Linked DNA regions of Nothobranchius furzeri. The protein of the gene in region 3 purifies or fractionates together with the protein of the main gene of each other region. This does not show direct contact. Links are inferred from orthologs where the notes say so. Each region holds a gene or a part of one and is shown on either strand. Other genes may lie near its edges. The genes, in order: stau1, ybx1 and lrrc59.

Region 1 (3,041 bases), on a different chromosome or scaffold from region 3:
ACGCTTTTAGAAAAAGTGTGGGTGTTTCAGAAACTAGAACTTCTGAAGATTTGTTTCTGCTGCGGCGTGTCTTTTTCTTTAGTATTAGCATGGCTCAAAAATAGAGAATTCATGTTTTAATCCTTTTAAAGTCACCTTGTTTTACATTTATTCAGCTTTTTGTTTATTATTTAACCTTCTTGGCTGTGAGATAAAACTGCTTAGCTTTAAAAAACTAAGAAAATCCGCCTGACCTTTCGCGTTGATGACAGGAGGATCCATAACCGAAGAATGGTTGTACTTTCTAGGTCACTACAGTTCAGCTATTACAATAAATGCATCTCGTTTTCAACTCCCACTCCTCTGCTGCAGCTGTTCAAACAAACCTAATCACAGAGAGCAGATCCTCTCTGACATTTTCAGATCAAATAACCTCATCATCACGTTTCCGTCTGCGCACACTGCACTGCTGAAGACGTTTAAAATAAACTTTTACTACATGAAAACAATCTTTTTTATTTTGAGACAACATAAACTAATCTGTTACCTTGTGATCTTTAATTCTTAATATCAAAGTAAAAGCATCTTCTTTTTCTGAAAGCGTCGCTCTTACCGTTGCTCCTGAGTGTGTGGGATTATACTGATGCATTGTGGGAGTTACTAACCTTATCATGACAGGATTCTACGTCTTTCCCAATCCCGTGACTGATGAGAGGAGGCTGGGAGGAACAGTTAATCAGCGACACAAACTCATTCTTGTTGTTTTTGGGGAAGTCTTTGTATTCCACCTGCAAAGCAAATGGCAGGTGTCACTAAGCTTGACCAAACGTGAGCTCACGCGTTCATCAATGGTTCTTACCAGCAGGCCCTGCACGGACGCCAGGTAGCCGAGCTGCTCCGACGGCCTCGTGAGGGGGCCGTGGGGCAGCTGGCTCAGGCTGTTTTTGTTCTTTAGGATAGTCTCAGCAGTCGATGACACTCCAGCATAAAGCAGCTCGTTGGCAATCATGGCAGTGATGGTGGCCTTGCCCGGGTTGGGCACAACTCGGCTGTAGTCCTTGACCTGGGGTCCCTGGCAGGCTCCAACTGCCTGGGCCACCTCAGGCACCATGGGCAGGATGCCCGCAGGCAGCTGCTGGTGGCTGAGGTAAGGCAGGCGGAAATCCTCCTCTTTAGGAGCTAACAGAACAGCACTGGTAAGAGCAGATTTGTTTCGCTCCAATCATACAGACGTCTCAGCTGAAACTCACCTAACGCCACCTCCTCCACAAAGAAGGTCACTTTACGCCCATCGCCAGGTTTTTTCACGGGGGTCTATTAAAACAAAAGTTACACGGACACGGTTTGCATGAACATTTAGAGTTTCTGTGTAATTAACTTGACTTTGTTGGTAAGAATTGAGAGCAGCATCTCGCTGGGATGTGGCTGCTGACAATTGTAGGAAAAAAAATGCAGTTTTAGTTGAAACTGTGGATAAATTGTGCCGTTAGCGCACATTTTCTGGCTGAAATGTTATCAAAACTTACTAATTAACTGTTTGTTTAAATTGTTTATTATTGTTCCTGAAATGTCGGATTGTCTTTGTTTTTGTCTCCATTCAGTCACAACTTAGTTTCATAGGACACCAACCCCTCCCAAAGCAAAAGGAGGTTCCACACACCCTGCATGATCAAACTTCAAACATTCATTTCACAAGAGCTGGTATCTGAAAAAGCCTTGCAAACATTGTGGAAACTCTTTGTAAATGTTGTCTGCACTGGGAGTTACTGGCTTCAGCTTTTCACCTTTTCTTCCGTTTTCAGAGCCGGTTTGGGAGGCTGAGGCTGAGGCACTTTGTATCCCAAGAGTTCCAGCATTTTCTCAGCTGCGTTCCTCTTGGCCACCTTCTTACTCGGTCCCATTCCCTCTGCAGACTGGCCACACACAGTCACCTGGAGCAGAAACGAGTAAAAGACGTGTGTAAACAGTAGAAAACTACTACACTTTGTTGCCAGCGTGCCTGAACTGCAGCTGACTCACCTGCATGACAAACTCCCGGCGCCGTGGCAGACCTCTCTCTGTAACCAGAGTGTACTCAGGCTCCTTCTCCTTCTTGGCCTGCTGGATCTGAGCCAGGCGGCTGATGGGATTCATCCCCTGGCCATACTCGGGGCTGGTCTGCAGCTGTGGACATAATGAGTAAATCATAACTTAATGAAGGCTCTTTGGGTCTGATCTGACTAATCCCACCTCGGATTCCGGAGCAACATTACCTTGATGATAGATTTGGTTTTCTTTTTGATGCGTGGCAGCTTCCTTTCCACACTCGGTATGTGGGGGAGCCTCTTCAGCTCACACAGCACCGCCGCTGCCGCCAGCTTCTTGGCGATCTTTTTACTCTTCCCCTCGCCGTTTCCCGAGAACTCTCCGACTGAAACGCTCACGACAAAATTCTTCATGTGTGGAGGGCCCTCCTCTTTTAAAACCTGGAATGAAAAATAAAAACAAACTCTTTTTGTTACAGTCGCAACTTGAACATTCATCTTAAGACTTCTGATGTTAGCAAACATCCAAACCTCAAAGATGACAGGTAAGTTTCGTTTGAGGGCAATTTCAAAAACTTGGCTAATTTCTGATTTGTTTAGGTTCTCATCCTCGGATTCTCCATTCACCTGTTACACATTTAAAAATAAAACAATGTGAAATATTAACAAAACAGTATTTAAGCTGTCTGGTGATGGCTACTCTTCCCACCTCTGGACACTGCTGCAGCATGGGCTCCTTCTGCAGGACTTTCAGCGCTTTGGCAGCAGCATCGTGTTTGGCCATCTGCCGTGTACGCCCCTTTCCAACGTACTGCTGACCCCCGATGGAGAGCTCCATGTGATAAATCATCGGTCCTACCGGGGTAAATGGATAGTAGTACCTGGAAAGATAAGGAAAGTTGTTCCACTCTTGAAAATCAGAGGCTAAACAGAGGAAATATGATTTTTTAAATTGGTGTAAACTGACTGTTGCATAGAGCGCTGGTAAGGCGGAGCACGAACGTTGTAGTTGAAGTTCGGCGGTCTCATCCCGGGATA
Region 2 (3,752 bases), on a different chromosome or scaffold from region 3:
CATTCCTATACAGCATCTTAATCCATTCCAGAAAGGACCCCCCAAAACCAAAGGCCCGTAGCCTCTCATTAAAAATAAATTGTCCATTAATTACTTTCCTGGTATTCAAAAGGACTGATCGTCTGGGATTAGACCTCCGATGAATCCCCAAAGTCTGTTTGATAAGAATTTAGAAAAAATCTTATTGTCTGAACATAACAAGGAAACTGGTCTCCAGTATTTTAGTTGGGTTAAGTCCCCTTTTTCGGCAGCAGGGACAGAACGCCCCACCTACACGATGCAGGAAGTGCTCCTGTCTGAAGTGAGTCTTTAAAAACATCCATCAGGTCCTGTCCCATACTGCTCCAGTAGAATTTGTAGAAGTCAGCAGGTAAGCCATCTATCCCCAGAGATTTTCCTGCAGCCATCTGGGAGACTGCCGTTGTAAGCTCCTCCATGGTTATGTCTGCATTTAAGATGTCTTGGTCTGCTGTGGTCAAGGAAGGGAGCCCCTGCAACAGCTCTCTGGCACAGTTCACATCACATGGCCTTAAATAGGCTGGTATAGAATTCTCCTGCATACTTCCTCATCTCCACTGGGTCTGTGGATAACTGTCCATCTGACAGACGAAGAGCAACCATTTGTTTTTTTCTGGTTTGAAAGTCTTTTCCAGGTTAAAAAAGAAGGATGTTGGAGCATCCATGTCCTGTAATGTGGTGAAACGAGCCCGGATCAAGGCCCCTTTGGCCCTCTCTTGCACGAAATGCCCAAGCTGTTTTTTTTTTTTACCAGAGACATAAAATCTGTCTAATCTAGCAGCACTAACTCCGAGAGAGAGAGAGAGAGAGAGAGAGAGAGAGAGAGAGAGAGAGAGAGAGAGAGAGAGAGAGAGAGAGAGAGAGAGAGAGAGAGAGAGAGAGAGAGAGAGAGAGAGAGAGAGAGAGAGAGAGAGAGAGAGAGAGAGAGAGAGAGAGAGAGAGAGAGAGAGAGAGATTAACCGCATGCGCTTCACACATTGGCCTGTGCTTGTAAAGGGTGCCAGTGGTGCATGAACATAATATGAGTGGATTCTGCAGTTACCTTTGTCTTTACCTGCTAATATTTATGGGGTGTTTATTTGTCTTTTCTTAGAATGTTCCCACGGTAAACATCACAATAGTAGTAATTATTTCAACTATCTAGAAACGACAAAATAAATTAAACATAAAGTTGTCACATTTGCAACATACCACATGTATGGTTCACAGTTTTGTATGACATAATTCAAAATGCATAATACTATCGGAAGTGTCACAAGCAGAATTCTCTCGCTTTTACGTCACTGGGGGCGTTGAGACTTCTGTACGTCTTTTTGACCAATAATTTCATCAAAGGCTTTGCTCAAAAAAGATTGACAGTCTCAATAGCCAATTGGAAGGAGATTTGTTCAATTCTACATATTTTAGCTAATCAGGAGACGAGATGGGCGGGTCTTCGCCTGGGAACATTCCCCTGCACTGTCTCTTGTTCTGCCCAGTTCGATCGGCAACGGGAGCGGAAAGAAGAAAGCTGAGAGCCCGAAGGCAGTAGCCCCCACCACCGCCGGCCCAGGTTACCATCTAGCACCGGGAAAAATATCAGAGAGCCGCCGCCGGCTGAAGCCATTACCAACGAGTAGTAACCATGAGCAGCGAGGCCGAGACGCAACAACCTCCACAGCCTGCTGCGGATGCGGAGAGCCCATCCAGCCCGGCACCCGCAGCTTCCGCGGGGGATAAGAAGGTCATCGGTAAGAATTCTTAGGCTAGCCGAGCCGGAGTTATCATTTATAATTTATACGCTCTTGGGTGTGGATGTAGCATTTGAATAAAAGCTGCCGTTCTTGCGTGAGAATTTCAGCCACGTCAAATTAATTTGCTCCAGTTGGTAAACGTTAGTGCCAGTTGACGGATAAATTCTTCACTCCTTTGGGCATTCTTATTATAATGGTCCAAAAAATTCAATCTAACGGTTTTTATTAGTCTAGTTTCTAAAAATTGAGTGGTTTATTCACAGATTAAATCGTGAATTCCATTCTGATTATCTCCATTGCTCATCGGCCTCCTCACGTCAAATATCCGTTTGAGAGTCGCGTGTATCCGGCCGGTCATCACATGGATGCTCGCTGTCACTTCCAACCGTTGCCAGAACCACGATGTTTTGACTAGGGTTTAATAACTGCATAACTGCATCTGGACCGCCAATAATTGCAGAACAATCCTACCAAATGCTCTATAACACCGGTTCATGTGAAATAACTACAGTGGCTACGAACGTTAGCTGCTTAACCATCTCTTTGTTCGCACGAAAGAGTCTTGATTCCATGTCAAGGCATTTTATCTAAAATATTCTCCTTTTCCAAAGCGTTCAGTCCCGATTTTTTTGGCCAAATTGTCAGAAGAAACGTTGTTGGCTAGCGACTCCAGCTACATCCGTCAATGGCGGTCTTATTTTGGTTGAATTTGCGTGCTGTCGGTGTGGCCTAAATACTTTACTATAGATCATCGGTTGCTAACCTAGCTACATTAGCCTAGCCAGCTAAGTGGCTATTTACATGGCTTTAGGGGAGGCCGTCCAAAATGTCCGCCGTGTGTTTTCCCGTTTTTTCCCGCTGCTTTGTAATTTGTTCGCTAAAAACTAATTCAAAACCGAAATCTTTATCATATATACCAATAAATACGGATTAATGTAGTTTAGTAATGCGCGTTTGTTTGTTTCTCTTTGCTGGCTCTACTCCAACCACATGGTACTAACCTTAGCCACACAGCCATGCTAATAGCCAGCAGAGCACAGCTCACAGCTCGTTAACGTATCCGGGTGCGACCCAACCACGTGTGAACCTTCAGGTTCTGCGTCCTAAAATGGAGCAGCAGGTCTGCAGTAACTAAACATGCGAGTGCAGAGACTGGTCGCTGTTTGCATCCTCATCTTTGTCATGCATTATGGGACATTTTGGATGCGTCATTTGGGACAGTTGTTGTATCGTTACTGGGATATTTTCTTACTGGTGGCTCATGTTAGGAGCAGCTGGCCCTGGGGTCTCCTAAGCATCAGTGTCTATAATAGGAGTGACAGTTGCGGGTTAAATATAACCTCTACGTTATGTGTGGCCATAGTTTTTAATGTTTTTATAGTTCTGATGTAGTTCGTTAAGTGTCCCATCATGATGGAAGCGTTTCAGTTTCACTTAAGCTATATGGATTTGTTCTAAATGCATGTCAGGCAGACGATGGTATTTAATAATCTTGTTCTGACTGTGATTGCAGCAACAAAAGTCTTGGGTACAGTCAAATGGTTCAACGTCAGGAATGGATATGGTTTCATCAATAGGTGAGTCACCTGTTGGTCCCTGTGTCAAAGTACATTTCTGGGTGTGGGTGAGAGTGAAGCATGCTAATCCTATTAAGTTATGCTTTGCGTACTTGGCTGACCATATTATTTTTCTGCTCATCTCCATCCTGTTGCAACCCACAGAACTTAATTAATCCCCACTGGCTTAGTTTTAAGTCTGTTTGCAGAGGCTCAGCAGAATGCAGCTAACTAAGATTCTGTTCTTTTGTCTAGGAACGATACAAAGGAAGATGTTTTTGTACACCAGGTCAGTTGTTGCTTTAGTTTTTATTCATTTATTGAAATTTGTGGTTAAGCAGACTTGACATTCAAACTATTTGTAATTTCAGACGGCCATAAAAAAGAACAACCCAAGGAAATATCTTCGCAGTGTTGGGGACGGAGAAACTGTGGAGTTTGATGT
Region 3 (3,752 bases):
GATTCAACAAGTTCTTTTACGGCGGACGACAGGTTCAGCAGCAGCTGTCTGGCCACACCCTCCTGCACTTTGACCCAGGATACGCCGTCAGTGACGGCGGCGTTGATCGGCACGCAGACGGCTTCCTTCTGTAGGTCGGTGAGCTGACAGGCAGCGACGATTCCTACCATGCCCAACATCAGCAGGAGGAGGAGCTTAAACACCAGACCAATGAGGGAACGGCATGGTTTAGGTGCTGGCTTTGCTGCAACGTTTTTATCTGCAGAGACAAAACGTGACATCAGAACATCTTCAGGCTGAAACTACAAACGTTTCTCATTTCAAACACGAACCATCGCGTTGATCTCACCTGCTGCTTGTCCATTTTTCTTTTTCTTCTCATTTTTCTTCTGCTGAGCCTTCGCAGCTGCAGCTGCCACCTGAGCGTTGTACTCCTTCCTCCTCTTCTCCTTCTCCTCTGCTTTTTCCTGTTTACGGGCCTCCCTCTCTTTGGCCTCCCGCTCCCTCTGTTTGGCCTCCCTCTTCTTCTCCAGCTCTACGAGCAGACAACGTTGGGTCAGTGGGTTGACTTTGATGCTTTTTACACTTTAATCTGAAACCAATTTCCTACAAATGGTCAAACATCTAGCTTCACAAATCTTGATGCAGGAGGTTTTCTTTCACACCATCGATCGTCTCTTTAACACCTTTTGTCTAGAACATTTTCATTTACCCACCTTTTTCCTTTAAAAGACGTTTCTCCCGTGCGCGATCAACATCCTCCTGAATTGCTCTCATGAGCTGCAGAACCTGAGAAATGCAGTCATTAGTTACATGTTTGTTTTGGTGAACAAGCTGATTAATGAATGAGTCTCTGCCACCTTTATGGCACACAGTTTACACTGCTTCTCATCCAGGCAGTCTCCTGCAGCTTTAGCTAGGCCAGGTTCCAGAGGGTTATCCTTCAGATCGAGCCACTTCAGATTCTAAAACACACACACACACACACACACACACACACACACACACACACACACACACACACACACACACACACACACACACACACAGTCACTTTGGACTTGGACTGATACATCAGACAACAGGAGTGTGACATTTATCAAGTTTGAATTGTGATTTTAGCTTCTGATCATAAAAAACAACATAATGAATAGATTTCAATTAAATTGTCACATTCTGCATTGCCAGCATAATTTCTCATGTTTTACAAAGTCAGAGCCAGAGCAAGGGCCCACGGTACAAGAGTAAACCCCCCCACCACAGCTATACAAGGACGGGGAACATAAACAGATCCAGTGCTCTGAGGATCTCCATGTAAAACGGGCGGTGTGTTTGAGCTGCATGGTCCATATCTTACCCTGAGCTGAGAGAAGCTGACAGGCAGAACCGTCAGCTTGTTGTTGTACAGGTCCAGATGTTGAAGGTTGACTAGGTTCCCCAGGTCATCTGGCAAACGGGTCAGCTGGTTTTTACTCAAGTCCAGCTTCACTAAGTGAGTCAGGCTGCAGAACTCTGGCTGCATGAACAAAATAAAAGTAAAAACATGATTGCAAATTATTCAGTTTGAGCAACATCAACCCGCAAACATGCTTAACAATAACAGCAGAAACTAGATGAAAGTGGATAGGTAAACCTCGAGATTTTAGAGTTTATAATTATTTATGCAAGAAAAGAAAAGTTTGAATCACTCTCTCCATTTAACAATGTACAGCTCGGTTTAATAGAAATTCAAACTTTTAAAAGAAAAAGTATCTTTGGTAGCTTTAATGAAACATACTGACGTGGATGCACTCACGTGCTTTCACTTAAAATGCTCAATATTTGCTCTGGATGAGTCAGTTAGACACTTACAGGAAGGGAGATGATGTTGTTGCAGGACATGTCCACGGCAGTGGCTTTGGGAAATGAAGACTGTTAGAGAAAGGAAGGTAGTTAAACCATGACATCACAACATCTCCTTATCTGGCTGTATTTATTACAAACATGTAAACACCCTGAGTGACTTACGAGCTCTTTGACTGGTACCTCACTGAGGTTACTCAGGCTCAGGTCCACTTCATTTCCACTGATTTTATCCCTCAGGTTTAACACTTTGTTTTTACTCATCCTTCAGTCCGAGGCGCCTCTTGCCAACACACCGAGGTTAAACAGATCAGTGGAGATACTTCTGATCGCCAGACAACAGGAAACCCTGAAACTACGACGATTTTATAAGATTTCTCACCTGTAAACGATAACCGTGGAAAACTGCGTCCTAGTTTAACAGCCGGTAAACAACATCGACATATAAGACAAACACACGGCAGGTATATTACGTCAGTTAGAAGAAATTTGGTGCACAAGCTTTGAATCGTGTTTCTGGCAGTGGCAGCACTGACTGAACGAAAATCCACGTCACTGATTGAGCTGCTACGCGGAGACGTTAGCGCAAACCACGCAGCGTCCCCTGCAGGACCGGAGGAGACAAGACGCGCTTTGAATCTCCCTCTCCAAATCCTAACCCGAGGCGCTGTCCTTCTCTTTAGCATGGAGGCAATAGTACATTCATCACAAATTCTGACTTAAGTTTTCTTAGTGCTACTTTAAAGCAGATTTAAAAAAAATCTGTTTTCCCATAAAGTATGACTTAACTTCTGAATGTTTAACCTCCGTGTTTCCTTTTCGGGCCAGAGCAATCTTCTTTACTCAATTGGCCCCACCCCCCTGATTTAATGTGTAAGTGACAGATTAAAAAAGCAGGAGGAAGTGCAGCACAGGAACATTAAATAACTTAATAAACAGTGACATGATTATAGATATCTGTATTTTTTTGTCTTTGTGGCTTATGTAACGAATTAAGGATTAGATTAGGTACTTGTGTATTTATTTTCAATTTTATTTTATCGATGATTATTTAATGAGGTATATGCCACCAAGCTCTTCTACCAAACGTGGAAGACATGTAAAGGGGTGGATGTGGCAGGTTTTGAATGAAAGTACTCAACCTAATACTTCACTGGTGTAAGACCAAAAAAGATTTGTGCCAAATTGGGGCCATTTTAAAGAGAAACCTTGAAATTCCCTTTTTGTTAGCTCAAACATCTTCTCACAGACAGTGCAATGCATACACTTTATTAATCATTTTAATAAACAGCTATGCAATTTGTATTTATTGTTGCTAACATAAAACAATTCTGCACTCAAAAACCAGTTGTGAGTCAGCCTCACAACTTATTTTTGATGTTGTTTTTTGTTTTGTTTCGGAAAGGCTAGTCTGTGCTTAACCAGCTGTAAAACATAAAGCACAAGAACAGACTGGCAGCTGTAACATAGAAAACAAAATAAACTTTGTTGATGGTCTTAATTTTTCTGGTCCAGTAGCTGGTCTTCCTCTCCTCTTGTATGCCACTGAGGAGGACATTCATCGTTTTAATCAAGTCATTTAGTTCTCCTGAGAACATTTCAGAGGAATGTGGTTCCTCGATCAGCTGACTGCCAGAACCCTGAAAAAAAGAAAGTAACAAACAGCACAGAAAAGGTGAATGGGCCATTTGTGTTTTCTACATGTCTTTAATAAATGCCTGTTAGGACCTGTGTCCTCTTGTGCTATGATATTGTATTCTCTTCAACTTAGACCTGTTTTTATTACTAACCCATGCCATTTGCATCATATTTGCTACATGAGTTTCTGAAACCTCTATCTCATTGACATGATCAATATTTGCCTTAAAAACGGGTTGTATATAATCTGATACATGTATTTTGCCTCCTAC

What was found.
Region 1: the proteins of lrrc59 (region 3) and stau1 purify together in Homo sapiens (affinity purification with mass spectrometry; 3 studies listed by BioGRID). This does not show direct contact. The link is inferred for Nothobranchius furzeri from reciprocal best matches to the Homo sapiens genes LRRC59 and STAU1.
Region 2: the proteins of lrrc59 (region 3) and ybx1 purify together in Homo sapiens (co-immunoprecipitation; 3 studies listed by BioGRID and IntAct, with this or other methods). This does not show direct contact. The link is inferred for Nothobranchius furzeri from reciprocal best matches to the Homo sapiens genes LRRC59 and YBX1.

What each region holds. Positions count from the first base shown.
Region 1 is NC_091743.1:66,052,615-66,055,655, forward strand, and holds part of stau1 (double-stranded RNA-binding protein Staufen homolog 1), read right to left. Parts: coding exon 2,971-3,041; intron 2,885-2,970; coding exon 2,713-2,884; intron 2,631-2,712; coding exon 2,535-2,630; intron 2,445-2,534; coding exon 2,232-2,444; intron 2,143-2,231; coding exon 1,999-2,142; intron 1,911-1,998; coding exon 1,764-1,910; intron 1,294-1,763; coding exon 1,230-1,293; intron 1,159-1,229; coding exon 839-1,158; intron 768-838; coding exon 645-767; intron 1-644. UniProt on the Homo sapiens protein: Binds double-stranded RNA (regardless of the sequence) and tubulin.
Region 2 is NC_091755.1:32,516,131-32,519,882, reverse strand, and holds the start of ybx1 (Y-box-binding protein 1), read left to right. Parts: upstream 1-1,465; 5' UTR 1,466-1,642; coding exon 1,643-1,748; intron 1,749-3,264; coding exon 3,265-3,328; intron 3,329-3,562; coding exon 3,563-3,596; intron 3,597-3,678; coding exon 3,679-3,752. UniProt on the Homo sapiens protein: DNA- and RNA-binding protein involved in various processes, such as translational repression, RNA stabilization, mRNA splicing, DNA repair and transcription regulation.
Region 3 is NC_091756.1:45,077,702-45,081,453, reverse strand, and holds the start of lrrc59 (leucine-rich repeat-containing protein 59), read right to left. Parts: upstream 2,729-3,752; 5' UTR 2,316-2,728; exon of another isoform or gene 2,225-2,315; intron 2,198-2,224; 5' UTR 2,107-2,197; coding exon 2,008-2,106; intron 1,912-2,007; coding exon 1,852-1,911; intron 1,517-1,851; coding exon 1,358-1,516; intron 966-1,357; coding exon 861-965; intron 790-860; coding exon 717-789; intron 536-716; coding exon 350-535; intron 260-349; coding exon 1-259.